7 linked regions of the Nothobranchius furzeri genome follow. The protein of the gene in region 7 binds, or shares a complex with, the protein of the main gene of each other region. Links are inferred from orthologs where the notes say so. Each region holds a gene or a part of one and is shown on either strand. Other genes may lie near its edges. The genes, in order: rbl2, mybl1, tfdp1a, e2f4, lin52, rbl1 and lin9.

What was found.
Region 1: lin9 (region 7) and rbl2 share a complex: the UniProt entries of both Homo sapiens proteins name them as parts of the DREAM complex. The link is inferred for Nothobranchius furzeri from reciprocal best matches to the Homo sapiens genes LIN9 and RBL2.
Region 2: lin9 (region 7) and mybl1 share a complex: the UniProt entries of both Homo sapiens proteins name them as parts of the DREAM complex. The link is inferred for Nothobranchius furzeri from reciprocal best matches to the Homo sapiens genes LIN9 and MYBL1.
Region 3: lin9 (region 7) and tfdp1a share a complex: the UniProt entries of both Homo sapiens proteins name them as parts of the DREAM complex. The link is inferred for Nothobranchius furzeri from reciprocal best matches to the Homo sapiens genes LIN9 and TFDP1.
Region 4: lin9 (region 7) and e2f4 share a complex: the UniProt entries of both Homo sapiens proteins name them as parts of the DREAM complex. The link is inferred for Nothobranchius furzeri from reciprocal best matches to the Homo sapiens genes LIN9 and E2F4.
Region 5: the proteins of lin9 (region 7) and lin52 are in contact, whole or in part, in a crystal structure (PDB 6C48), measured with the Homo sapiens proteins. The link is inferred for Nothobranchius furzeri from reciprocal best matches to the Homo sapiens genes LIN9 and LIN52. Residues at the interface, in NP_001353174.1 of Homo sapiens: Leu335, Gly336, Phe338, Phe342, Leu343, Ile344, Val346, Thr347, Leu349, Ser350, Lys351, Leu353, Met354, Lys356, Lys357, Ile360, Leu363, Arg364, Asn367, Thr368, Ala370, Glu371, Lys374, Ile382, Phe384, Gln385, Tyr388, Ala389, Val392, Leu395; in NP_001019845.2 of Homo sapiens: Asp61, Met64, Leu65, Leu68, Gly69, Leu71, Thr72, Thr73, Leu76, Met77, Val80, Leu83, Gln84, Leu86, Ala87, Leu90, Asp93, Glu94, Glu97, Met98, Arg100, Gly101, Leu104, Asn105, Ile106, Leu107, Glu108, Pro110.
Region 6: lin9 (region 7) and rbl1 share a complex: the UniProt entries of both Homo sapiens proteins name them as parts of the DREAM complex. The link is inferred for Nothobranchius furzeri from reciprocal best matches to the Homo sapiens genes LIN9 and RBL1.

Annotation. Positions count from the first base shown.
Region 1 is NC_091744.1:80,482,516-80,486,595, reverse strand, and holds the start of rbl2 (retinoblastoma-like protein 2), read right to left. Parts: upstream 2,801-4,080; 5' UTR 2,583-2,800; coding exon 2,445-2,582; intron 2,379-2,444; exon of another isoform or gene 2,326-2,378; coding exon of another isoform or gene 2,287-2,325; intron 1,858-2,286; coding exon 1,727-1,857; intron 1,648-1,726; coding exon 1,447-1,647; intron 1,239-1,446; exon of another isoform or gene 1,116-1,238; intron 981-1,115; exon of another isoform or gene 907-980; intron 1-906. UniProt on the Homo sapiens protein: Key regulator of entry into cell division. Directly involved in heterochromatin formation by maintaining overall chromatin structure and, in particular, that of constitutive heterochromatin by stabilizing histone methylation.
Region 2 is NC_091747.1:51,681,174-51,684,568, reverse strand, and holds part of mybl1 (myb-related protein A), read left to right. Parts: intron 1-15; coding exon 16-141; 3' UTR 142-3,395. UniProt on the Homo sapiens protein: Transcription factor that specifically recognizes the sequence 5'-YAAC[GT]G-3'.
Region 3 is NC_091754.1:25,779,668-25,783,637, reverse strand, and holds the start of tfdp1a (transcription factor Dp-1), read right to left. Parts: upstream 2,801-3,970; 5' UTR 2,573-2,800; intron 1,317-2,572; exon of another isoform or gene 1,192-1,316; intron 911-1,191; exon of another isoform or gene 764-910; intron 442-763; 5' UTR 369-441; coding exon 357-368; intron 93-356; coding exon 26-92; intron 1-25. UniProt on the Homo sapiens protein: Can stimulate E2F-dependent transcription.
Region 4 is NC_091744.1:86,777,043-86,779,983, forward strand, and holds the end of e2f4 (transcription factor E2F4), read right to left. Parts: intron 2,620-2,941; coding exon 2,538-2,619; intron 1,410-2,537; coding exon 1,263-1,409; intron 1,128-1,262; coding exon 1,080-1,127; intron 959-1,079; coding exon 914-958; intron 832-913; coding exon 716-831; 3' UTR 501-715; downstream 1-500. UniProt on the Homo sapiens protein: Transcription activator that binds DNA cooperatively with DP proteins through the E2 recognition site, 5'-TTTC[CG]CGC-3' found in the promoter region of a number of genes whose products are involved in cell cycle regulation or in DNA replication.
Region 5 is NC_091758.1:32,967,772-32,971,752, reverse strand, and holds the start of lin52 (protein lin-52 homolog), read right to left. Parts: upstream 2,801-3,981; 5' UTR 2,718-2,800; coding exon 2,699-2,717; intron 1,457-2,698; coding exon 1,382-1,456; intron 1,307-1,381; coding exon 1,269-1,306; intron 1,175-1,268; coding exon 1,108-1,174; intron 926-1,107; coding exon 842-925; intron 1-841.
Region 6 is NC_091743.1:73,531,970-73,535,469, forward strand, and holds part of rbl1 (retinoblastoma-like protein 1), read right to left. Parts: intron 2,798-3,500; coding exon 2,594-2,797; intron 2,303-2,593; coding exon 2,238-2,302; intron 1,976-2,237; coding exon 1,847-1,975; intron 1,606-1,846; coding exon 1,442-1,605; intron 1,336-1,441; coding exon 1,271-1,335; intron 1,150-1,270; coding exon 975-1,149; intron 360-974; coding exon 193-359; intron 1-192. UniProt on the Homo sapiens protein: Key regulator of entry into cell division. Directly involved in heterochromatin formation by maintaining overall chromatin structure and, in particular, that of constitutive heterochromatin by stabilizing histone methylation.
Region 7 is NC_091742.1:4,995,661-4,999,160, reverse strand, and holds part of lin9 (protein lin-9 homolog), read right to left. Parts: intron 1,993-3,500; coding exon 1,862-1,992; intron 1,679-1,861; coding exon 1,553-1,678; intron 1,444-1,552; coding exon 1,286-1,443; intron 1-1,285. UniProt on the Homo sapiens protein: Acts as a tumor suppressor. Inhibits DNA synthesis. Its ability to inhibit oncogenic transformation is mediated through its association with RB1. Plays a role in the expression of genes required for the G1/S transition.

The sequences.
Region 1 (4,080 bases), on a different chromosome or scaffold from region 7:
GCGCGGCGCTCCAGCAGTAATGAGTTGAAATCACCGGGGCACAGATTATGAACTCAGCTGAGGCAAAGCACGTCAGAAAAGCACAAAATACCAGAGAACATGCGCTGATATGAACGATCGCAAGTGAATTATTTTGTTTTAGTGGAGCGATTTTGTGAATATAACAGCGGCCGCGTGCAGGACGCAGCTGAGCCGTTACCGCTGCGTCCTCTCTGCCCGCAAAGCTGAGTCCATAAATGACGTCATATATGCAGATACTGGATCTTTCTTCGGGTTTCCCGTAATTTGAATTTTTAAGGAACACGTCTTGATTCTGGGTTTAAAAATGCATTGTAATTACCGCGTTACTGACAATTGTACCGAGTAAATATTACCATTTTCTTTCCCTGTAATGCCTTACATTACCACATTACAGCAAAAAGCAATGCATTACAGTAATTAATTACTTTTGTACCGCATTACTCCCAACACTGCTTTTAACAGCTTCTAAAGATTGTTCCCCGATTTTGCAGCTATAATTGTTATATTTATAATTACAAAGTAAGAGAGACGTGGTTCGCATAATTTAGCTAATATCAGTCCACAATGCCGCAGGCTCGGAGTGAGTGTTGTGTGTGTGACGATGTCACAGATGGGTTCAGGTAGAGTTAGTAATCTCAGCGCTGATGCAAAGTTGGAGGGACACTGAGGAGCAGCTCCTCCTGCTGCAGACCTGACCCGGATCTGAACTGGTTCTGAGTCCGGTTCTCATTAAAACATGTCTGATTCTGGACCCTGAGTTAGTTCTGAGAGCAGTCAGATCTGTGTTATTGCCGTGTTATAAAGCACATGAATTAGACAGTTAGTTTTGTACATGATCTAAGTTACTAACCTCCCACAACAACGTGATGTTATTATTGTTTTCAGGCTAAATCTACCAAAGAAACCAGACTGATGTAGTCCTCCACCAGCCTGCACCGGTCCAGGCTAGAGCCTTGCAGGTGAGTTATTTTTAACCATCTGTCTCTCTTTACCTTGCAGTTTTAACATTATGTCATTTTAGCTTACCGTTACACACGTGTATTGCTGCTCTTAAACACTACGATAATATTTGCAATTTCTTTGTTTTTCCGTAGCCTCCCAGCAGCAGCGTGTCTGACACTGGGACCATGATGGGAACTCCACCCAGAGATTTGTCTTACAGCTAATTTTATTTGTGTCTTTAAATTATAATCTGATTTATGTTGTCACTCCTGGAAAGAACGCTGAATTACTTCTATGCCTGAAATGTGCTATACAAATAAAGTTACCTCGCCTAAGGAAAGGTCAAAGGTCATCCTAGTTAACAGTTCAATTCTGTGTTTAATCTATGGGAAACTAAATCTTGCAAAGGTGATTTCAGCCAACCAGACCCAGAACAGGAAGCAGGTGGACTCTAACGAAGGGTCGGAGGTCACGTGGACCCACCTCTGTTTGCGACTGCGATGGACCCGAAGCAGCTCCTCTGATGGGGTCTTGAAGATGGATCTGAAGATGGGAACGTACTTCTTGAAGATGACGGCTGAAACGGTGAAGTTCCGCTCCAGCTTGTCGGTACTCTGACAGAAGTCCTGTGGCAGCTTGGCCATGTCCTGCCACTTCTTCATCTTACTGAAGAACTCGATGAGGCTGGAAGAACATCAGAACCGCTCAGCAGATCCCGTCACATGACCTCCTAGCAGCCGAGTTATGGACCAAACACACAAACCTGATGTGAGAGCAGCGCAGGACTCTGGTCAGTGACACGTAGTTCCCCTCAGTAGTCCCCTTCCCCACCGTGGGCACCGAAGACCTGCAGGCCACGTAGAGCGCACAGGCCAGCCAGTGCAGCTCGCTGCCCTGCACACACAACGGTTCTGATTACTGCACCAGCTGGTTATGGGTTAGGGTATAGGTTCGGCATAGTGGAGTCACTAAAATGAATGGAAGTCAAAAGAGGTCCACATAAACATATAAATACAAGTGTGTGTGTGTGTGTGTGTGTGTGTGTGTGTGTGTGTGTGTATTTCAGGAAAACAACTACACATACCGGCCTAGGTCTATCTGCCTGTCTATTTAGTAAGAGAGAGGAGTATTATATTATTGTATGCATCTCCATCTCTCTACATATATCGAGAGAGAGAGAGAGAGAGAGAGAGAGAGAGAGAGAGAGAGAGAGAGAGAGAGAGAGAGAGAGAGAGAGAGAGAGAGAGAGAGAGAGAGAGAGAGAGAGAGAGAGAGAGAGAGAGAGAAAACACCTGAAGTCATAGCTCAGAAGAAACACCAGACCTCATTGGTGCTGCATCCAGAAAAAGGAGATGCGTGCATCTGCAAAAGGCTGCTGCCATGTTGAACGAGGCGGTTCCTGCTGAGTTGGAGACCTAGATGACATTTCATGTCAGACGTTTTGGCCCGAATGGACCGAACCCTCACCAGCACCTGCTTACCTCCAGAGTGAAGTTCCTGCTGATGTTCTCGTAGCTACTCCACGCTTCGGTACTCGCCTCTTCGTCCATGTTCAGAGCTCGGCACAGATCCTCGAACCTGGTTCGGATCTTCACAAGGCGCTCCTCCTCGTCGCTCATGTTCGTCTTCGGGACCGAACCGAACCGAACGGACAAAGCGCGCCTTTAGGGTGGAGCGGACGAGGCTGGCGCAGTTGTAGCGGCAGTAACGGCGTTATTACGGTGCTGCGCGGATCGGCTGTGTAGCCATTTAAATGTCCTCTGACAGATGCGCGAGCTGTGACGTTTTTGACGTACACAGCGCAGCCAACCACGGAGGGAACGTCACATGTGTGCGTGCATACGTTAGAGAATCGCGGCAGCAACGTAACTCACCCCAGCCCACTAAACTTGCGTAGCGTAAGCCAAATACAACTACTTCCGGTTGCTCTTGTTTTCTGACGTCCACCGAAACGCCATCAAACTTGATTGTTTTTAAAGCACGTGACCGTTAGCGGTGCTAGCCAACACGACTCAGCAACAAAGCGTGGCTCTGGTGCTCAGACTGGTTCTGTTAAGCTGCTCGTGAGTCCCTCATCAAGTGTTACATGTTTGAGGTTTGGCCCACAAGGTGCAGTAACAGCCTTTTACCAGTAGGTGGCGCAAGGAAGCCTGCAGAGAGCCGTGACGTCTGTTGTTTTATTTCAGCTAGGACTTTGTTTTAAAATGGGAAAATGTATTTTGTTTTTTTCGCAAGCACAGAAAGGAAGATGTATACTTTGTTATAAATTTGTTAATTATTCTAGCTAAATTCTATCTCCACAAATGCAAGTATAGTAACTAAAAACCTAATTTCAAGCACTATTATAGTGACACTCTATCTTACATAAAATTGATTAGTGGATCACTAAACAAAAAAGCTTTAAAAACTATAACTATTTGCACCACCTATAATTTATTTGGATGTGTGTAACATTTCTGTAGTGCACCCCCTGGCATATGTTTCATCTTTGTTCAATTTTGTATGCAATTTGTTTGTATACTTATCACCTTGTTCAATAAAGTTTTGAAAAAAAAGTCTGTTATTTTATTTTGTTTAATTGTGCATGCAATTTGTGTGTATACTCATCACCATGTTCAATAAAGCTTTTATTTAAAAAAAGTCTGTTATTTTATTTCCTGCTTACTCCTAGGCCCATCTGTTCAGGACTCTGGTACCGCGGTACCTATTACACACCAGCTAATAAGCCCTGGTTATTAAAGACTGGGTTGGACTAATCTTACTTTAGTGTTTATTTCAGGTGATGAGGATCAGTCAGGACGGGTCCAGACTGGTTTGTGCTTATGCACCAAACTGCTGCAGCCTATACCCACTTTTTTTGGAGTTCCTGGAGGAGGTTCTCGAGCGTGCTCTTTCTGGTTACTCCCTCGTTGACCTGGGTAGTGATGTGACATTCATGAATGAATCAAATCTTTTGAACGGGTTTTCAAAGTGAATGATGAGAGCCGAGACCCTGTAGAGAGCCGTTCATCTTAACAAACCTCTCTGGAAGTCGGTCAGACTCACCCGCTCAAACCCCACCCACCGCTGACGGACGTGGGAGGAACCATAGAAACATGTGTTTATATACATATCTCG
Region 2 (3,395 bases), on a different chromosome or scaffold from region 7:
CCTCTTCCTCTGCAGGTAAGTGAGTGGGAAGCAGTGGTTTATGGGAAGACTGAGGACCAGCTCATCATGACAGAACAGGCTCGTCAGTACCTGAACCCCTTTTCATCGTCTGGCTCTACCTCAAGGGCTCTGGTGCTTTAAAGGCCATCCCCTTCAGCTAGCAGCATTACATCCGACTCAAACGTCCACCAAGTCCCCGTGGGAGACAATCCACGGAGCAGAAACACCGTCCACATACAGGCACGGCTGCTGGTACTGTTAACGCATGCTTAGGTCACGTAGTTCATACTGATCAGTAGCTTCAGACTTATACAGTGGGGGAAAAAAGTATTTAGTCAGCCACCGATTGTGCAAGGTCTCCCACTTAAAATGATGACAGAGGTCAGTAATTTTCATCATAGGTACACTTCAACTGTGAGAGACAGAATGTGAAAAAAAAATCCATGAATTCACATGGCAGGATTTTTAAAGAATTTATTTGTAAATCAGGGTGGAAAATAAGTATTTGGTCAATAACAAAAATTCAACTCAATACTTTGTAACTTAACCTTTGTTGGCAATAACAGAGGTCAAACGATTACTATAGGTCTTTACCAGGTTTGCACACACAGTAGCTGGTATTTTGGCCCATTCCTCCATGCAGATCTTCTCGAGAGCAGTGATGTTTTGGGGCTGTCGCCGAGCAACACAGACTTTCAACTCCCTCCACAGATTTTCTATGGGGTTGAGTTCTGGAGACTGGCTAGGCCACTCCAGGACTTTCAAATGCTTCTTACGGAGCCACTCCTTTGTTGCCCGGGCGGTGTGTTTGGGATCATTGTCGTGTTGGAAGACCCAGCCACGTTTCAACTTCAAAGCTCTCACTGATGGAAGGAGGTTTTGGCTCAGAATCTCACGATACATGGCCCCATTCATTCTGTCCTTAACACGGATCAGTCGTCCTGTCCTCTTAGCAGAAAAACAGGCCCAAAGCATGATATTCCCACCCCCATGCTTCACAGTAGGTATGGTGTTCTTGGGATGCAACTCAGTATTCTTCTTCCTCCAAACATGACGAGTTGAGTTTATACCAAAAAGTTCTACTTTGGTTTCATCTGACCACATGACATTCTCCCAATCCTCTGCTGTATCATCCATGTACTCTCTGGCAAACTTCAGACGGGCCTGGACATGCACTGGCTTCAGCAGCAGAACACGTCTGGCACTGCAGGATTGGATTCCCTGCCGTTGTAGTGTGTTACTGATGGTGACCTTTGTTACTGTGGTCCCAGCTCTCTGCAGGTCATTCACCAGGTCCCCCCGTGTGGTTCTGGGATTCTTGCTCACCGTTCTCATGATCATTTTGACCCCACGGGATGAGATCTTGCGTGGAGCCCCAGATCGAGGAAGATTATCAGTGGTCTTGTATGTCTTCCATTTTCTGATAATTGCTCCCACAGTTGATTTTTTTCACACCAAGCTGCTTGCCTATTGTAGATTCACTCTTCCCAGTCTGGTGCAGGTCTACAATTCTTTTCCTGGTGTCCTTCGAAAGCTCTTTGGTCTTGGCCATAGTGGAGTTTGGAGTCTGACTGTTTGAGGCTGTGGACGGGTGTCTTTTATACAGATAACGTGTTCAAACAGGTGCCATTAATACAGGTAACTAGTGGAGGACAGAAAAGCTTCTTAAAGAAGACGTTACAGGTCTGTGAGAGCCAGAGATTTTCCTTGTTTGAAGTGACCAAATACTTATTTTCCACCCTGATTTACAAATAAATTCTTTAAAAATCCTGCCATGTGAATTCATGGATTTTTTTTCACATTCTCTCACAGTTGAAGTGTACCTATGATGTAAATTACTGACCTCTGTCATCATTTTAAGTGGGAGAACTTGCACAATCGGTGCCTGACTAAATACTTTTTTTGCCCCACTGTATTTTAACATATTATTTAAAAGCCGACATAACGATACTGGTGTGTCTCGCCCCGTTGCTGTTATGAGATAAAAACAACACTCATGCTGCCGTTTTTAAAATCACACTAAATCACACTTTTAAATACAACACCAATCATTGTTTTTCATTAAAAAAACAGCAGCGTGGTTGTTGTAACAGTATGTGGGAATGTTTTCTGTCAGTATTGCACTACTGAGATAATTTTGCTGCTGAGGAAGGAGCGTGATTATTATTATTATTTTTTATGAGCAGACTGGATAGCACTTCTGAATAACAACACAACGTTTCCTTTCCAAGGCCATAAAAAAATCAGCTGAATGTATTTCATTGCAATGGAAGAACCTCAAACATGGAAGGGTACTTTATTGTTTATTTCTAATTGTTTTATTTATTTTTCAGTTTTTAAAGCTTAGATATTAATATAAATCAGACAACATAAGGTCTAACTGCTGACAAAACAGCCTAAAAACTCTCTTGCTCTAAGCATTGCTACCTTTTATTTTTCAACTTTCAGTCCCGGTGATTCATTCTGACTTCATACCACAAAAATCAAGCATTTGGCTGAGAAGGATTATAGTTTTCATGTGAAGGCTGTAGGTTCTATTTATTTACTATTTATTTATTTCTTTGAAAAAGAAAACCTTTAAGAAGAATTATTGAAGAATTTTATCAATCTTTTCACTTTTAAAATCAGGATTGGGCTACAGTTCATTTTCCTGCACTGCCATTCATTTTAATTTGAACTTCTCTTGATCGTACGAGATGTAGAAAATAATGTTGTAGATATGTGAGTGATGTTGTAACATAGATGAGGCTTTTTCCTCACCTTTAAATTAAATGTCGCTGTTAGGTAGCAGGACACCATCTCCGACCTCTAATCATGGACAAATTGCACTTTTTATTCATTTGAATAAAAATTTTAAGTTCATTTGAAGGATGTAGCTCTTGTTTATGTGTTTTAGATGTGTTTCTGTCTATGTTAGTTACTGCTGCTTGATTTTCTCCCGTTTGGCTGTGAAAAGGTGTGTTAAGTTCTCCTTGTCCAGTATCTCACTAGGCTGTTGACGACCAGACAGCTATGCAAACTTGAAAGAAAGTCGACACATTTTCAATTTAGAACAAGTCTAAATCGGTTCTTAAGTTATTCTTTTACGAAGTTTTATATTGTCAGTTCATGAGGGATGTAAGATGTAACAAACCGCTATTTAGTCAAGTCAAAATTTGTTTAACCCTCCCACCGTCCTAATGGGTGTGACCCTGTGAGGAAAGCTGACCATTGAGCGGGGTTGATGGTTTATCCCTTGGGTCCATGTGGCAGGGGTGAGGAGTGAGCACCACCTCACCCCTGCCACATTGACCTCAAGGGATAAATCACCAACCCTGCTCGATGGTCAGCTTTCCTCACGGGATCACCCATAAAGACAGTGGGAGGGTTAAAAAGCACATTTAAGAAATATCTGC
Region 3 (3,970 bases), on a different chromosome or scaffold from region 7:
AAGTCAAAAGATGGTTCAGTTATACCTTTGCTAGGGCTCAGATTCTGATCGATGAAAACCTTCAGCTCTCCATTTGTTTCAATCAAACCAGCCTGTAAAAGACAAAACTCATTATGCTGCAAATATAGAATATTAAAAATAATATAAGATAGTAGTGATGCAATAATGGATGCTTAAGTGTGCATATCTCCTTAAATTACACCAAATGGGTAATTGGATCATTTTGCAATTTGGGTTTATTGTCAAACATTAATGATGGTTTAGAATAATAGGTATGCTAAAACAACAAGAACCATCTCATCTGGCTACAAGATATAATGTGCATATGGATGAAAATATTGAGGGAAATTACTCACATCTTTAGCCATGATCCCAAAGGACCTGAAGGAGTTTAGTTCAGATTAAAAAATTGTTCCTTCTGTCACTCAAGTGTTCAGACCCCTGCAGAAGAAATGAAAGCTGTGAGCAAAAGTTTCAAGCTTCACTTATTTATAACATTTTCCTATAAATCCCCACGGCACAGATGGATTTGAATGAGCTTTTGCACTCATTTATGAACCCAGGCCCATTTCAATGGTTGGCTATGAGCACAGCACACTACACTAAGCTAATTCCATCATCATGTTTACTCCACTTTTTCCTCAGTTAGCAAAACAAACCTGGCGGAAATTACAGCTAATTGTACAAACCGCTGCGTCATTAGCCTTTAGATGTAAACACAAAAAAGCACAGTCAACCCTCACTTGATGCCCACAACTTTTACCAAGCTATGTGTGCACAAGGCCTACTTCAGGTACCGATCACGTCCGGAGGAGAGGCATCGTCCAACTTCTGCTACAGGTCACGAAAACGTGCCAACTTTGACGAAACTGTTGATTTTTCTCCACGGAGATTAAAATATAGTTACAGATAGTAAATCAGTCCACCACAGAAGCAGGTTTCACACCACATGTCAGTAATAATGAACAATCTTTTGTTGACTACAGCCGGCTAACCGTTACTGCTAACAGCCTGCTGCTCCTTAGCTTGCTAGTTAGCTTATGCACGTTTTCACACGATTGGCAGAAAATTCAGAGATTTCTGGTCCGAGCTGCAGATTATAGCCTTCTTTAAGTAAGAACTGATATTGGAAAAAAGCACTGCGCGTTTTGCACGATTAGAGGGGTTTAAATTGCGAATCCGTGCACTTACGAGTGCACTCTCTTGTCTCTTCGACGGCTGTTGTTGTTGGCATTAGAGAATGGAGGAAGAGGAGGTCTAAATCCCATCCAAACAGGAAACAAACTCAGCAATCCTAATGTACTTTTAAAACTATTTTATTCATAAATCAAAGTTATTCCTTTAAAGAACTTAAGCATATGATTAAAGAGTTGTTTTTCCTCAGGTCAGTTTTTTGTCGCTATGTCAAAAACTGATACCAGGATTTGCCTGTTGGTCGAGTCTGGCAGCTGACTAACCATTAAACATCATTCATCTCATCAGAGAAACTGATCACAAAAGCAAGCAAAATGAGCTGTACAACATTTTTGTCATGAATATAATGCACTAACCAGTTTTCAAGTTAAATTAAACCTAACATTTTAAAACTGCATATTATGGTAAATAAACAACAGTATGTTAACAGGTACTACATTTCAATTTAATAAACATACAACATAATGTGTGGATCAAGCCCATAGATTTGATCTACATTTCTTCTAAAAGGAGTTCATATTAAAGTAATTAAGTCAAAGAAGTGAATAAAAAACTATATTGACACCATTAATTCAGGGACCTGGGCCTGCAAAAGGAATCAGTTGAAATAGCAAATTTAATATATAATGTTAATCGGAAATAAACAAGTTATACAAATGTAAAGTAATTTTATATTTTGGGATTCCGCAATTATCTGCTACAACTGATCACATTCTCTTAAACGTTCTCAGTAGTTTTGATCTCATTCATGGGCCTCTTGGTCACAACAACCTAGTAAATCAGAACAAAACAAATCTAATTAATCGATATTTTAGCTTTTTGTGCAAAAAGTACACTTTTGAAAAAGTTAAAAACTTCATTGAAATGTTTCAAGCCAATTAATCACGCTTTAAATTTTTATTTAAATGAATATGTGGCTTAAACAAATAAAATTTGTTTATTTTAATTCGTTACAGTAAAAGAAAGTGAAAGCTCTTTCTACATTCAGATGAGTTACATATTTCAAACTTCATGTCTGCGGACTATTTAAACAAGTCCTGTTGCATATTCTGTTTAGTAAGTTATAACCGTGGTAATAGAAACCATGACAAGATCGTTAAGTAGATCGATGATCAACACTTCGCTAGTTAGCAACTGGTTATCAAAGCTACGAGCTAACTCGATATCAATGAGAAATCGCAACCTCCAGCGCTTTGTTAGCCCACTAGCTAGCCAGCAAGCTAACTACCAGCTGTCATCGAGAAAGTTTACCATTGTTAGCTTCGTGTGATATCAACACTTTTTCATGTCGACCAAGACATAAAGGCCGTTTAAACACTTGTATATGAGCTCTGGTCTGCGCCGGGTGGGAAGCCACCCTACAGTGGATGCATCTTACCAGAGCACTTCACGTTAGCACACCGTCAGCTAGCCTTTCCACGGCTCTCTGCTAGCCTGTCGCTTTCAGCAGTGCCTCTCACAATCTGATCTTGGCGGCGTCTCGCTACAGCGGCGTCTGATTGGACAACACTGGTGTGACGTAACCATAGCAGTGACGTGAGTCGTGCCCACAACCTACTTCTCCTGGGATTGGTGGAGAGCAGGCAGCTGCAGGGATGCATTTACCGCCATCTGTTGCGCAGGAGTAGGAGGAGGATTTTTCATTAGTCGCTATTATATCTACCAGGAATAGTTTTTAGGCCTGTCACTTTTATTTCCTCTTTAATTCGATTGAAAAAAATACCACACACCACACTGAATGATGCCAAATTTCAGCTGATATATCTGAATAGAATAGAATAGAATAGAATAGAATGGAATAGAATAGAATAGAACAATCCCACAGTAGGGAAATTCACTTGTTACAGCAGCACCAACACTTAAGAGAACAATTTGATTTAAAAAAATAACAAATACATTTGCATACAATGTATACAATTGGAAGGCTGCCTTTCCGTGTCTTGGCCCATCACTTGGTCAGATTATCAATGGGAGCCTCTGCACAGGTGTGGTCCCAGCTGCTTTGAAAGCAGCAGTTATTCGGCCGACCCTGAAGAAACCTTATGCTGATGTCTATGTGATAGAAAATTACAGGCCTATCTCTACCCTGCCTTTCACATCAAAACTGCTTGAGAAAGTCGTTTATCAGCAGCTGGTCTCACATTTAGCTGACGCTGATCTGTTTGAGGTTTTCCAATCAGGGTTCAGGTCTGGCCATAGCACAGAGTCGGCTCTACTGAGGGTCCTAAATGACATCTATCTATCACTAGATCAGGGTACATCTGTGGTGCTTCTGTTGTTAGACCTGACGGCAGCCTTCGACACAGTTGACCACGCGATTCTACTAGATCGCTTGGAACGATGGGTTGGGATCAAAGGGTCTGCTCTGGATTGGTTTGGATCTCCACAACAGAACATTCTGCGTTAAACTGGGTGATGTTTTTTCTTCTTGGGAGGGGCTCCGCTGGGGGGTCCCGCAGGGATCGATCCTTGGTCCTCTTTTGTTTGCCATTTATCTGCTTCCTCTGGGGTCAATCTTTCGTAAACATGGCCTATCATTCCATCTCTATGCTGACGATTGCCAGATTGATGCTCCATTGTGTCAGGAGAAAGGTCACTATATCCAGTCCTTTGTGTCCTGCATTAACGAGGTGGAGTCTTGGCTAATGGCCAACGTTCTGCATCTGAATGAGGGAAAGACAGAGCTCATTGTTTTTCACCCCAACAGCAGGAATGTGGATCGTCATGTTGATCTTGGCCCTCTTTCTCCCTACTCAAAACCAGTTGTCACCAGTTT
Region 4 (2,941 bases), on a different chromosome or scaffold from region 7:
TCTTTACATAAAGTCTACTGGCTTAAATAAGTTAAAGTTCTTCTTCTAAAAGTGGTTGAGAGCACCTTGATGCCAACGGTTTTGGTTAAACGTGACAGAAAATCCACCGCTCTAGTCATGCAGGAGAGAACAGTTTGTTGGGCCTGGTGTTGGTTTTCTAAATATCTGTCTGCATTAGAAATGCTGTTAATAAGCCTCGTGTGCAGGTAATACAAAAAATATATTCTCTATGTACAAGAGGACAGTGCATATGTCACCAGCTGACTCAGCGAAACTATTCAGCTCCTGACCGGACTGAAAAGAAGGATCTGTTTTTATTCCTGGGGGATGTCCGACACGATTTCAGAGAAGCAAACTCTCTCACACACACACACTCACTCACTCACTCACCCACCCACCCACCCACACACACATTCAGGCATATGGGAAAGCTGACACGCAAGCATAATTTTTTTTGTACACGAGAATCCAAAAATATAATTCCGACTCTTGTTTTTCCTTGGAAAAGTTGTAAGTAAAATGTTTTGTCCTCGTCTTTGTTTCTGCGCTCCCGTCTGAACTCGGCTGGAGCTCTTTTTGCCGATGCAGCCGAGTCCTCGGAGCACTTCCTGCCCCTCTTCTAGTCTTCGCTGTCGGAGAAAACAGGGCAGGAGGACTTGAGGAGAATGAGGACAGATAATCATATTTGGGTAACAGTTTTTGTTTAAATCAAAGGTCAAAGGTTGAGAATGGGCACATCAAAGAGGTCACAAAGACCTTCTGTCTCATCCAAATTGTAAATGTAGTCATGATCACTGGGAGGAGGGGACAGACGAAGGAGAGGCGAGAACACTGAGGGCGAAACACAAACAGGAATTACACAAAGACAGTTTGTTCGTGATGATGTTGCTGCTTTGTCTGTAATCATATTCACCTTCTGATGACATCAAGTCCTCCAGCAGGTCTCCACTCATGATTTCTTTCAGAAAAACAAAGTAAATCCATATTTACCAGCTGCTGCATCCCGTGAAATACTTTCTATTACATGTAGAGACGCGTGTGACTGAATTTACGGTTTAAGAAGGGCTGAAATGGTTTACCTTTAGTTGGATCAAACATGTCTGAAAGCTCTTTGGGAAAGTCCAACACTGAAGGGAAACATTTCAGTAAAACGGTTGCAAAAACACTTTTTACTAAACTTTTCTGAAATGTAATCTGCAAACAAAACAATCAAAACTTATTCTGAAATGTCCTTCACAGCTTTAGAAGAGCCCGACACTCACATTCAGATGGATCCGACTTCATTGGTTCAAACGCAGCAGAGACAGAGGACGACGCGGATCCGTCCAAAGAGGCGGATGACTGTAGCTGCTGAGGAGGAGCAGCAGGTGTGCGTGATGCGGGGCTGAGAGGAGTGGTGCTCGGCGCCTCTGAAACAAAACCAGAGACACAACGTTAATGTGAGAAACTCCAGAGGGAAGTGAAGAAGCAGCAGAAAATAATTCACTCGGTAAAAGGCCCGTTTCTGTATACAACCCCCCAAGGCGCTTCACAACACAATCAGTCATTCACACGTTCACACGCTGGTGGGGATGAGCTACGATGTAGCCACAGCTGCCCTGGGGCGCACTGACAGAGGCGAGGCTGCCGTACACACGTACCACCGGGCCCTCCGACCACCACCAGCAGGTAAGCTGGGTTAAGTGTCTTGCCCAAGGACTCAACAGCAGCATTCTCTGGTCGGAGCCGGGATCGAACCTGGAACCTTCCGATTTCTGGACAACCTGCTCACTCTACCTCCTGAGCTACTTGCTTAATCACTACATGTGCAGCAGTCTCTAGTAGGAACAAATGCCTTTCAAGTCGTACTCGGGGGAAACAAAGCTCAGATGCGCTTGTTTCAGGAACTAGCAGAATGCTACATCAAAGGAGAGCTTAACGCGACAGGAGTCTTACTTCCTGATATGTGGACATCTCGCCTCTGATTGGATAACAGCAACACGACTCTACCACTGACTCTGGCTGCTCTGCAACGTTGATGTTTTATCTCCACAAATAACACAAGCCTGAAGGAGTTCTGCTGTGTGGTGGAGTTGCTAATGCTAACGGTTAGCTTCTACTAGCTGAGGAGTTATCTGCCGTTTCCTGGACGCTAAACCAACAACAGCCTTCCCCGTCGTGAGTCCAGATGAGTGAATCCATGAATGTTAGTGACAGGGTGACGTAGATTTGTCAGGATTTTCTAATCCAAGAGCCGTGGTACTAAATTACGGACCTGGAGGGCCGGTATCAGCACGTCGTCCGTTTTAACTGTTTTAACAAACTGAATTCAATCAGCAGGAAACTAACAGGCTGCTGCACAGGTGGTTCAAACATGCTGGTTAGCAGCTCTCCAGGACCGGGACTGAGAACCACTGTCAGACGCTGATGCAGGACATAGGTGTAGGAGACTTTTTTCATGTTCAGCTTGCATGGAAAAACTCAGAGTGACTGATTATGAACAAAAATAATCATCAAAAACGTTTTTCAGTGAACTACACCTTTAAAACGTTCCCCACCTGTTGTCGTCTGGTTGGCTGCAGAAGCTGGTGTTAAGGCAGGAGCTGCTTTTGTGGCCGTGTCTGGAACTCCTTTGGGACCCTGGAGGGGAAAATGGAACAGAAGAAACGTCAGCATTGCACAAAACGCCAAATGTAACGAAGGAGACTATCGCTCACATTTAAATGGACACCTTACAGTAATCCTTTAGAATAAATTCTATGTTAAGAAATTTCTGTAATTCATGGTAAAGTAAAACAAATGGCCACACACTTGAAATTCAAAGCAGAAGGTTTTTTCCCATCTTAGCTGCTTTTACTGAATCAAAACTGTGGCCTTAACATTAATTAACTATTTTTTACCAAACTTGAGAAGTTTGAACGTTTGAAGAGAAAAACCTGACCGTTAAATACGTTTCCCATCA
Region 5 (3,981 bases), on a different chromosome or scaffold from region 7:
CTGGAGGCAAGGCAAACAAATCATTTCTAAAATTAATTATTTCACAAAATGAATCAATCTGATTTCTGCAACATTAAAATATTGATTTGCTTTACCACCAAATGTAGATCACTCTGGGGTGATTTTTTTATTATAGATGAACATTTTCTTGTTAAAGTGGCATTAAAGTTTTATTAAACCTTCTACAAACTATTTATTATCATTAAAGAACCGACATCATGGCTGCCATCTACCCTGCTGTTTAAACTCACATTATTTTACACAATTTGCTACCATTTCAGTTTATTTACACATGTCGCTGAAGAGGAGGTGTACAACGATTCTCTTACGCTAGAAACATTAAAAACATTTTTATCTTCTTTTAGGATAATATCAGCACTTAGCTACATCTCTCTAATCCACACTCCAGAAGGATTATTACAATGGAGGCGGGAGGGAATGGATTAAAACAAGAGCTTGTGCATCCATCATATTCTTGAGCATTTGCTTGTGTGAGCTCTTGGTGGCATGCACTCATTTCTTACTTGTTTACATTTAACAAGACTGACCTAAATCCTTGTTTTAAAGATCTTACGGCCAACCTGTTTTATGCAGACTCTAAATTACAATTGCACTTTCAATAACATCTACTCTGATTTTGAATAATAAATAACATCCATGTGATTTTAGCCTATTTTGAACAAACAAAAAGTAAATCTGATTCTGCAACTAAACGTAGTAGTGGAAAGGCTACTAGCACCACCTGGTGGTGATAGACGTAAACAGCTGATTGGGAAAACTAAAAACTACACGAACACATCACAGCCTATGTTTTCATGTTGTTTGTGTGTTTTGTACTTACACTCCTCTAAACCCAGCTGGTAAGCCAGGTTCTGAAGTCCTTTGACCTTCTCCATCAGGTTAGCTGTTGTCAGACTACCCAGCTCTGCAGAGTGATTACAAGGCAAAGATTTTAAGCTCCAGTTTGATCAACTCAGTTTCTCCTTGACAAGATTATATATTTATGGAAACACTAACCAGTACAACAGTTTTAACATGAAACGCTGCAGGCACAGAGAAAATCTTTCTAATTAAACATATATTAAAAAAAAAAACAATTGTACCAACCTTTTAACATCTCGATGTCCTCGCTTTCCAATTCAGCCATCCACTTAGGGGGTGAGCTTGTAATGGGCTGTAATAAAAATAAATGATATTATACGGCAATGCCAAATCTAAATGATTATTTAATGTATTAATCTCAGTTAATGACAAAAAACGTATCTTACGTTTTTATAGGATGCAGCAAATTCTGCAACTCCGGGTACTGTGTGAGAAATGACAGGACAGATAAGGTTAAACTGTGGGACCATAAAGAAGCACAGAGGAGATGAAAACTTACACTGCTCAGGCCACAGGTCTGGTGACGCTCTGTCCAGCTTTTCTAAACTAAGCAAAGAGCTTTCAAAATCATCACCTGGCAAAGAAAAGGAAGTAAAATTATGTTCAGAATTCAGGCAGAAATTTCAGAGCTTTAGAACAAAATGTGATCTTCTTGATGTAAATACAAGTAAAATGTGTGACTTATGGACCATTCCCATCTGTACCGGGTCGGCCCGGGCCGGGTAGCCCCAGTCGGCCCCATCCTGGCCCGGTTGATTCCACACATCCTTGTCTTACGCCCATGTGGGCTGATTCTACCCACCAATCAGAGGCTTGCTCTAATGGAAGGTGTGAATTTGCTGTCAGCAGTGGGTGTGTTGGCCCTGGTCGGCCTGAAGCAGACCCCCTCGAGAAGAGGGCTGAGAATGAGCCTTGGTTGGTCCGGAAAAATACCAGGCCACCCAGATATGTAAACAACCAACGCTACCCGGCCCGGACCGACCCGGTACAGATGGGAATGGCCCATATGACTACAGCCAAACAAATGTCAAAATGTAACCACAACAGTTAATACAATATGTTGGCTGTATTAAAACAAAATATGTGTACAAGATAAATACTGATTAATCAGCTGTTCTTAAAAAAATTACTAATATTTGGGAGGTTTAGTTTATTTATCATACCTTTCATTTTTAAATGTTGCTTGATTCAAGTCCCTATACAACCATTTCTGCTAGGCTGTGACAACAACTGTGTGCTGATTATTCAAAAACTATTCTTAAAACCAATATTTAGTGTAACAATTTGTGTTAGCATTATGCTTCCTAATACATGACCCTACATAGTGTGTGTGTGTGTACATATATATATATATATATATATATATATATATATATATATATATATATATATATATATATATATATATATATATATATATAACCTTTCAAAAACCTTTCAAAATATGTTGATGTGAAACAAATAATGCCTCAAAATGTTGGAAAAATGTCGTAAATATTAATTATTAGGCCAGTATTTAACAAAGAGGCAACTCAAAAGCTAGTAGTATTTAAAATATCAGGAGTTACGGAAGGTCTGCAGCCAGCTGTCTACTGTTCTTCCTTGAACGTTGGTGGACTAACAACACCGGGGCTAGTGGAGCCTTCAGTCAAACAAAACCACCTCCGAGAAGTCGGACTACAACGCTGATATGTGTAGTTCTGAATTCTGGGTGTTCAGCTACATCATCAATACATTCGTGGAATAATTTGTGTGATTTAAAGTGTTAAATTTTACATTTTTTAACAGCGTATCTGTGTAAGGAATTAAAATTTACCTCCATTCGGAGACGCCATCTTCACAATAATCACGTGACCCGTGACAACGAATAGGAGTCAATGTTGACAAAGCCTTGTAAATTCACAAACACACCACAAGAGGTCACTCTTACACACCAAAGCCGTGTTCCTGGGGGTAAAATGAATAAACTAATAATTTTATAATAAGTGTCAGGGGCGATCCTAGCATCAGAGGTTTAGGGGTGCTAAGCACACAGCGAGTTCCATGGCCAGGCAAGATACATTTCAACATTTTGTACAATTTTACACAATTTCATTCCAACATTTGTGAAAGAAAAGAAAATCGGTGTTTTTACAAATAGATCTGTGGTTTTACATATCACAATCTATGTTGAACAGATTTTGCTATCTGTGTACAACAATTTGGTCCAAGTTCGAAGAGTCTGGGTCAGTGGTTCCCAACCCTTTTTCTTTGATGACCCAATACAGGATCTATTTTATGGTTTTTGGTGCAATATTTTCTAACAGTGAGTGAAAGTCCGTTTTATTTATTTCTTTTTTTTGTTTGTTTGTTTTATTCATTTATTTAGAAGTTCGATTCTGAACATTCTAATGTTAACAAGAGTTTTATTTGCTGCATTTTAAAGGGTGTACTTGCATTATTATGATATATTAAAATTATATAAGTGATTATTTTGGTCTCGATAATGTCAACAATAATATTGTTTATTGGCAATAATTTGTTGGACAATATATTGTCCTGCAAAATCTGTTATCGTCCCAGGCCTAGTTCACTTGTACAAACTACTTAAAAATTAAAAATCAGCAAATCTATTTTATTTTTCTGTGTACAACAAAATTTTAGCTATTAGCTATAGCTGGGGCTATTAGCAGTTAAAACAGAGATGGATTTTTTTTAAGCTTTATTAAAATAAGAGGCTAAATATTCTCTTCAGAATGTCTAAAAGGAACGTGCAGTACCAGATTTCAGTTGGAAATTAGAGTGTCGTTCTATTTATTGCCAGCGGAGCTAGCAACTATATGTGATTGAATTTTTGAAAAATCTAAAGAGGCTAAATATTCCCTTCTAAATGGATTTAAAAATCGGATGTGCAGTATCAAATTTCAGACACTAGAGGGCAGCAAATACTCCCTTCTTGTCTGCATGCAGTTGGAAACCTGTGTTGTTCTGTTATTTGCCAGCAGAGGGCGCACATTCTCCATTCTTTCAACGAAACAAGTGTTTTAAAAAATAGAGCAAGAGTTTCTACTAAGTCCGTCTTGTAAAAATCTATTTAGACAAAGAACAAAAAGAACCCAT
Region 6 (3,500 bases), on a different chromosome or scaffold from region 7:
ACACGAACAGAAAATAAACAATAAACAAAACTTTCAAAACAATCTTTATGAATTTATTTATTTTATCCATTACTTGATAATCTTCTAACCTCCTGCTATAAAACACCTCCACGCTCTCTTGTTTAGTTTATGTTCCTCTGATTTGTTCAACAGAAACATACAAACAAAAAAAGGTTAAATAAGGAGACTGACTTGAAGATCTGGACCAGGTTCTCACTGGGGGACGTTCTTAAACCGGCCACCATGCTCTGCAGCCGGCTGACGCTCTGCGTGGCCAAGGAGACAGGAGTTACGAGCAGGTCCTTCTCCTTCAGGTAGACCCGCCCGGTCAGAGGGGTGGACGGGGCCAGAGAGCTGGACTGCACACAAGGGAGGAGATATTATTTAGTCTTTGGTCCTGTAAGAGCTCCTTAAACCACAACATTCACGCCGTTTCTTGTTCGTTAGCTGAAGAAAGCTACAGAACAAAATGCTGAAAACCATTCCTAGAGATTAGGCTCCAAACGGGTGTGATTTAAACATCAGTCCTGCAGATCTGGAACAGCAACTCACCCCCTGTTCTACACATGCTAAAGGCAGCTAAACATGCTAATTTGGACTCCATAACCCGTAACAGAAGTCCACAAAGTCAAAGAGCCTTTCAGCAACAAGAACTTTTAGCTTGTAGCATAAAGAGAAGATTAACGGAAAACAGATGTGACTGTTTTTGTCCCACTCATCAACGACTTTCCTTTCAGAATGTTAAACAGCTGCAGTCGGCTGATTTGTTTCATCCAAGCTTTTAGCATTAAGAGAGAAAAATTTTAAAGTTTCTAAAGTGCCGGCGATATATAAAGAGAGATCTTCGGAAAGCGAACAGAACTTCAACTCAACACCACCTAACAATAAAGGAAGTATAATAAACGAGGGCCGAACATCTCCATCAGGTGATGGTGGGACCTCAGGGATCAGCAGTTCCATGTTAGTGTCTGCACCTTCTCCACGTGTTGTTGCAGCTGGTTCTGAGCAACCGTTTGGCTTGCAGTGCATTCCTGAACAATCTTCCTCGGCGTTCCGATTTCCTCATCAGCATCCGCTCCCAGGAACACACGCTCATCAAAATCTCCCACCGTCAGCACATACTCCTCGTACTCCCTGTTCAGGGCCTTGCTGCAGACGACAGCACACAGACAAAACAATCATTCACTAAAATAATTTATTTACTGCAGAAAAAACAAACACCAGAAGAAACTTCACAAGGAGACGGAACAATACGTATCTTGTTGCTTACTTGTTGTCTATGAAGTTCTGAGGATCTAACATTTCAGTCAGAAGGTCCTTGTTTCCTTTCAAAATCTGATTTACGCACAAAGAAAACAAAAAAAAAAATTTTAAACTATTTTTCAAAAACAACACAAATCCTGAGTATCAGCCGATATTTTAAAGTGAGGAAGATGTGCACCTGTTTCTGGAACAGTTTCTGCACGAACGGTTTGAAGTAGTGCTGCTTGATGCCTTTGGCCTCCACCACCAGCCCATCATGCAGCTCACACAACTTCTCCAACACACAAGGAGGAGGCTCGCCTCGAGAAACGTGGCTCTCGGCACGAAAAGAGGGGGGCAAACCTGCAGGAAGTCATGTGATCATGCCAACACTCATCAAGCAGTGTAACTGTTCTGCTGTAGCGAAAGGAAACAGCTTCTGCAAGAGGAGGAGCTTCATCCAACACAAATACTAAATCTGGCATCAAGAGTTGAAAGAGTTTAGAAGCTTCATCTGTGGCTTCATGCACAAAGATCTGGATGCATTTTAAAGATCTCCTAATGTGGAAAAGGTGGAAACTGAAAGAGGAGCTCAAAGTTTTACCTCTGAACACGGGGTTGATGAGATCCTTTCTGTTTGCACACAGAAGAGTGTTACCAAACACCAAGTCCAGGCAGCACAGCAGCAGGTGGTACGAGTTCACCAGGTCGTCTCCGATCATACGAAAGTTACCTTCAGAGACGCAAAACGCATAAATCAAACAACAGCAAAAATAAAATCCCACCTTTCTACAACAAGCTGATTCATTGATGTTTAGATATAACAAATTAGCTGTTTGTGAAGTTAAAGTGTCAAACTCAGCAGTAAGATTCTATAAACATGAGATATTTTGCAGATACATCAGCTGATTTGCTGACTCCAAGCAGAAAAGTTAAAGCTACGACTCTAAACGTGCAGCCCGAGTCAGTCAGCTGTTAGGTTTTATTCTTGGTACCTTTAGTGTAGACAAACAGGGTCCAGCAGAACTTGAACACATCACTGATGTGGCAGGGCAGTCGCCTGCAGTCAGAGGTAGGAGACAAATATGCCGTTGTTTAGTGACTCTGTGTTCCACTTTTAAAATTAAGGCACTGTTTGTGATTTCAGTCTGACCGGTGTGTGAAATATAATCCCCAGTTTAAGCTCATCCTTGTTCAGAATCAGAAAAGTTTCATTCAATGTTTAAAAATAGAATAAAGTTGAAAGAAAAGGCTTAGGCAGGGAGTAGCTAGGGGAACTTTCCACGTGAAGAAAATACATAGTTCTTGGGAATGTAGGGTCTAAAAAACCGTGCGTGCGCGTGTGTCATGCCTGTGCTTCCTGCTGCGCGGCTGACGTGGCGGATCACATCCCTGTGGATTCTGAAACAAGTCCATGAAGATGGGCTCAAACTTGCGAAAGATCACAGTGGAAACCTCAAAGTTTCGCTCCAGTCGGTCCATTCGCAGCCTGAAGTCCTGCGAGAGGTTGGACATGTCGGTCCACTTCCTCATCTTTGAGAAGAACTGGATCAGACTGTAAACAAGACAGAAAAAAGAAACATTAGGGAGCCTTTCAATGTATTTTACTAAGTGTAAAATGAGGGCTGTTCCGATCACCCCCCCAATCCAAGTCCGAGATTTTGAGTATCTGTCGATTCCGAGTCCCGATCTAATTCTTCGGCAATGCATTAGAAAGGAGAAAGAAAGAGAACACATCCAAGTTGTCTAATGTGTGGCTGTAATAAGCAATGCATGTTCCTGTGACTGGGCAGTTACGTCCCAATGGCAGGTTTGGTCTTTTCTGCAAAACACCAGAGAGATGCGTTTGTAATGATGAGAAGGAAACATACCGCACCTCCAGGAGACGCTAAAACCAGACGTTCGCAACTACAGACTGCTTTTTTATGTTTTGCTGAGACCTTTTACTCTTCATAAACAATTCTCTTTGCTTTTTACTACACACTTTGATGTTTGCTGGCTTCGTGTTTTGTCCGACGCATTGCTGTGAACTCCGAGTAATGAGCTCCATTTGGGGTGTTTGTCTTTAAGCTGGCAGAATAGAACTAAATGCAGACAGGTGATTAACTGCTGGGAACCCTGAAGAAAAAGACGGTTGTTTTTTTAAGAAGCTGTATCAGATTCACAGTGTTGAATGCAGTTCTGTCACTGTCTGAGCTGCACACACAACTCTTATGTTCCTGTCACGCTTTGCAGCTGATTTTCAGAATTTATTTATG
Region 7 (3,500 bases):
TTAATTTACGGCCCAAATCCAACAGAACCAGTCGGGCTGATTTGGTCTCAGGTTACAACTCTAGCGCTCAGCCCTGCAGTACCACATTAAGGCGGAACCACTTGGTAAATGTGGATGACGCTCACTCTGACAGATTTGGATGCTGCGCTGGTGCTGCCATTAAAACAAAGCTACATTCCACTCTAATCAATTATGGCGTACTCTTTTACGATGCAGAATCGTTTATGTCCGCATCCTGATGCATCAATTATTTGATTATTTTCCTCAGCTCTAGTAAACACGGGCAGTAAGTTTTGCTTTTTGAACAAAATCAGCTGAGATGGCAAACATGAGCTTCTTTCGGTTAGAGCTGAAGCTCAGATCACCGGAGACTGCACATGGACTGTGGAGGATAGAACACTTTAGGAGCGGGTTGTTAAAAAAACGATCGTGGCTTCATTCGCAATAAAAAGCAAGTTATGTTCAAGATAAACAGAAATCTGCGGCATCTCAGAGATCGCCCCATACCTCCTTCATGCTGCCATCACCTAAACTTTTATAAAAAAAGACACAATGGTGCCACATTACCACCACAGTCTGACCACCTATAAACAATCTAAGGGTCCCTGATGACGCCACGGGGGTTGTGGCAGAATGACGGCATTATTTTGTAAAAACCCAGACACCCTGCATAGATTTTTTTTTTTTTTTGCTGCTTGTATCCCTGCAAAATCCCATTAATCATCACATACTGGTGAAATACATCTCCGCATCCGACCCATCCCCGTGGGGAGCAGTGAGCTGCAGCAGTGGCTAGAGAACTCTTTGGTGGGTTAACCCCCCCCCCCCCCAATCCAACCCCTAAAAGCTGAGTGTCAAGCAGGGTGGCATTGGGTCCCAATTTTAAAGTCTTTGGTATGACCCGACCGGGATTTGAACCCTGATCTCCCAGTCCCAGGGCCGACACTACCACTAGGCCACTGAGAAGGTGAGAAGACGAGGATGGGAATGTAGATCGACTGATAAATCTATAGCTTGGGCTTCTGGCTCAGCTCTCTCCTCACCACGACAGACCGGTACAGCGCTTGCATCGCTGCAGATGCAGCACCAATCCGCCTATCGATCTCTCGTTCCATCTTTCCCTCACTCGTGAACAAGACAGATCATTTGTGAAAACTACAAACTAGCAGACACTTACTCTGTTTCTATAATTTCATTAGTGGAAAGGATTTTCTATAGACTTTTTTTAAACAAGTCATATAAAATGTTGCAGAATCATCAGTACATGTGAAACTGGTGATCTTACCAGTGACTTTTGTCCCTATGATGAGTGGCAGAGGAATTTCATCAGGAAGGTCTTTGCAATTTGACACATCTGACAGTTTCCTCTGCTGCAAAAGGCGCATTTTTTGCCGCTTCTGCCTCAGCGCGGTTCTCTCTTCAGCAAAGAAAGCCGATGAACACCTGGATGTGTCGACAGAACCAGAACTGTAACATCGACCGGCTTTGATCTGAGGCTTCAACATTCAGGTGAAACACACGGGGAACAACAAACGTAGAGACCACCGCGTACCGTCGAGGTTTTCCCATCAGCCTCCTGATGGTTCCCCACTCAACTCTGGTCAATTTTCTTGTTTTCAAATTGGGAAAAGACTCCTTGAGGCACAAGCAGAACTCATTGTCACCTTCAAACAAAGGTCTGGAAGAAAAAACAACAAATTTATTTTGAAAGTGCAATTAAACAAGACATTAACTCGTGAACTAAATTGTTTTGTACATCTAGGTTGACTTAAGTTACTATAAATGTACCTGGAGAATAAAACAGACCAACTCAAATATGTCTGTGTGTAAATGACCAACATCTTCCAAAGTGAGACGTTACCTGTCGATATTGGAATAGAACCATTCATAGATGCACCATTTGTGAGCTTTGGGTAGTTTAAGGAGGTTTCTCAATCTCAGCCCTATTTTCTGTGAAGCCTTCTTATCTGGTGTCATGATGTTTGAAAACTTCTGCAGAGACAAATGCAAGACAACCATCAATGCACATGCAGATACACAAGAGCCATGAGGCCATAAACACAAAAATCAATGATGCAATTAAAGGGAAACTATGTAGTTTTGGCTTGCTTTTAGCACCCCCTGGTGTCCAAAAGTGAAACTCTTCTCACTGTGCGTTAGTGATGAGATTTATGGCATTTCATGGCAGTCATTCTTTAGTCGGTCATTTACCTCAAAGAGCCGTTCAAAAGACTGGCTCCTTTGAATGAAGCGAAGCCATCAGAGCGTGTGTGTTTGTGTGTGATAAGAGCAACATGGTTGCAGCGGTGGAAGGGGGTTAAGCGAGCGCGCTTTGCCGACTTTCGGGGACGTTCGTTACCACAAGACAAGATGAACGGCTCTCTACAGTAGAGCTGAGGAAAATAATCAAATAATCGATGCATCGGGATGCGGACATAAACGATTCTGCGTCGTAGAAGAGTACGCCATAATCGATTATGGTGGAATGTAGTTTTGTTTTAACGGCAGCACCAGCGCAGCATCCAAATCTGTCAGTGAGCGTCCTCCACATTTACCAAGTGGTTCCGCCTTAATGTGGTACTGCAGGGCTGAACGCTAGAGTTGTAACCTGAGACCGAATCAGCCCAACCGGTTCTGTTGGAATTGGGCTGCGAATTATGTTAATTGAGCGGGTCGTCATGCGGCGCGCTCCGCTCGCTCGATCAACGACTGAGAGAGAGAGAGAGAGACACTGTCTGCTCACACAAGAGAGAGGATCGGAGGACGCTCCTCCAAACCGATGCTCCAAACACGCATAATTATTTTCATAATTTAATTATTGTTTCTCCTGGAAGCGCTCAGTCAGACCGAGTGTTGTGATGCTGGGAGATCCGGTCTTGGGGAGGGGGCGGGGTCAGTGATGGCGGCTGCAGCGTGGTCGTCTGTCTCTTTAATTTAGGGACACGGAGAAGTTAAAAGGAGAGCGAAATAGAAGATAGAAGTTCTTGTTCCACTTAATTCTTTTGTTTCATGAAGATAAAATGATGTTAAATTCAGCTTAAAGAGAAACTGGGAGGAAGCTTTGGTTCATTTTAAGTTACAGGAGATCTTGTCTTCTACCTGCTCCTCCAGAGACAGCATGGAGGGTTACATGGTGAGGGTCCCACAGGACAGCTTAGTGGAAAGGTTTGTAGTTAGCTGGTTAGTGAAGGAGATCCATCAGCTGGGTAATTTAATCCTAATCCAGCCCACAGCCTTCTGCTGGTGTTATTATCAGCAAGAATAAAACACACATCTTAAATATTATTGGAAGTGTATAATTAGTTTGATGTTTTATTATTTTCTGCATCAAACAGAACTTGATTCCTGCTCCAACATTTCAGAAATGAACCACTGGGTTCAAATAAAATAAACTAAGTCAAACATTTCATTTGGTGTCATTTCTGACAGACTTGAACTGCAGCATAAATATTTGACTCTAGAGCTGCTCAGAGACATTAAACACTCATTTATGAACCCAT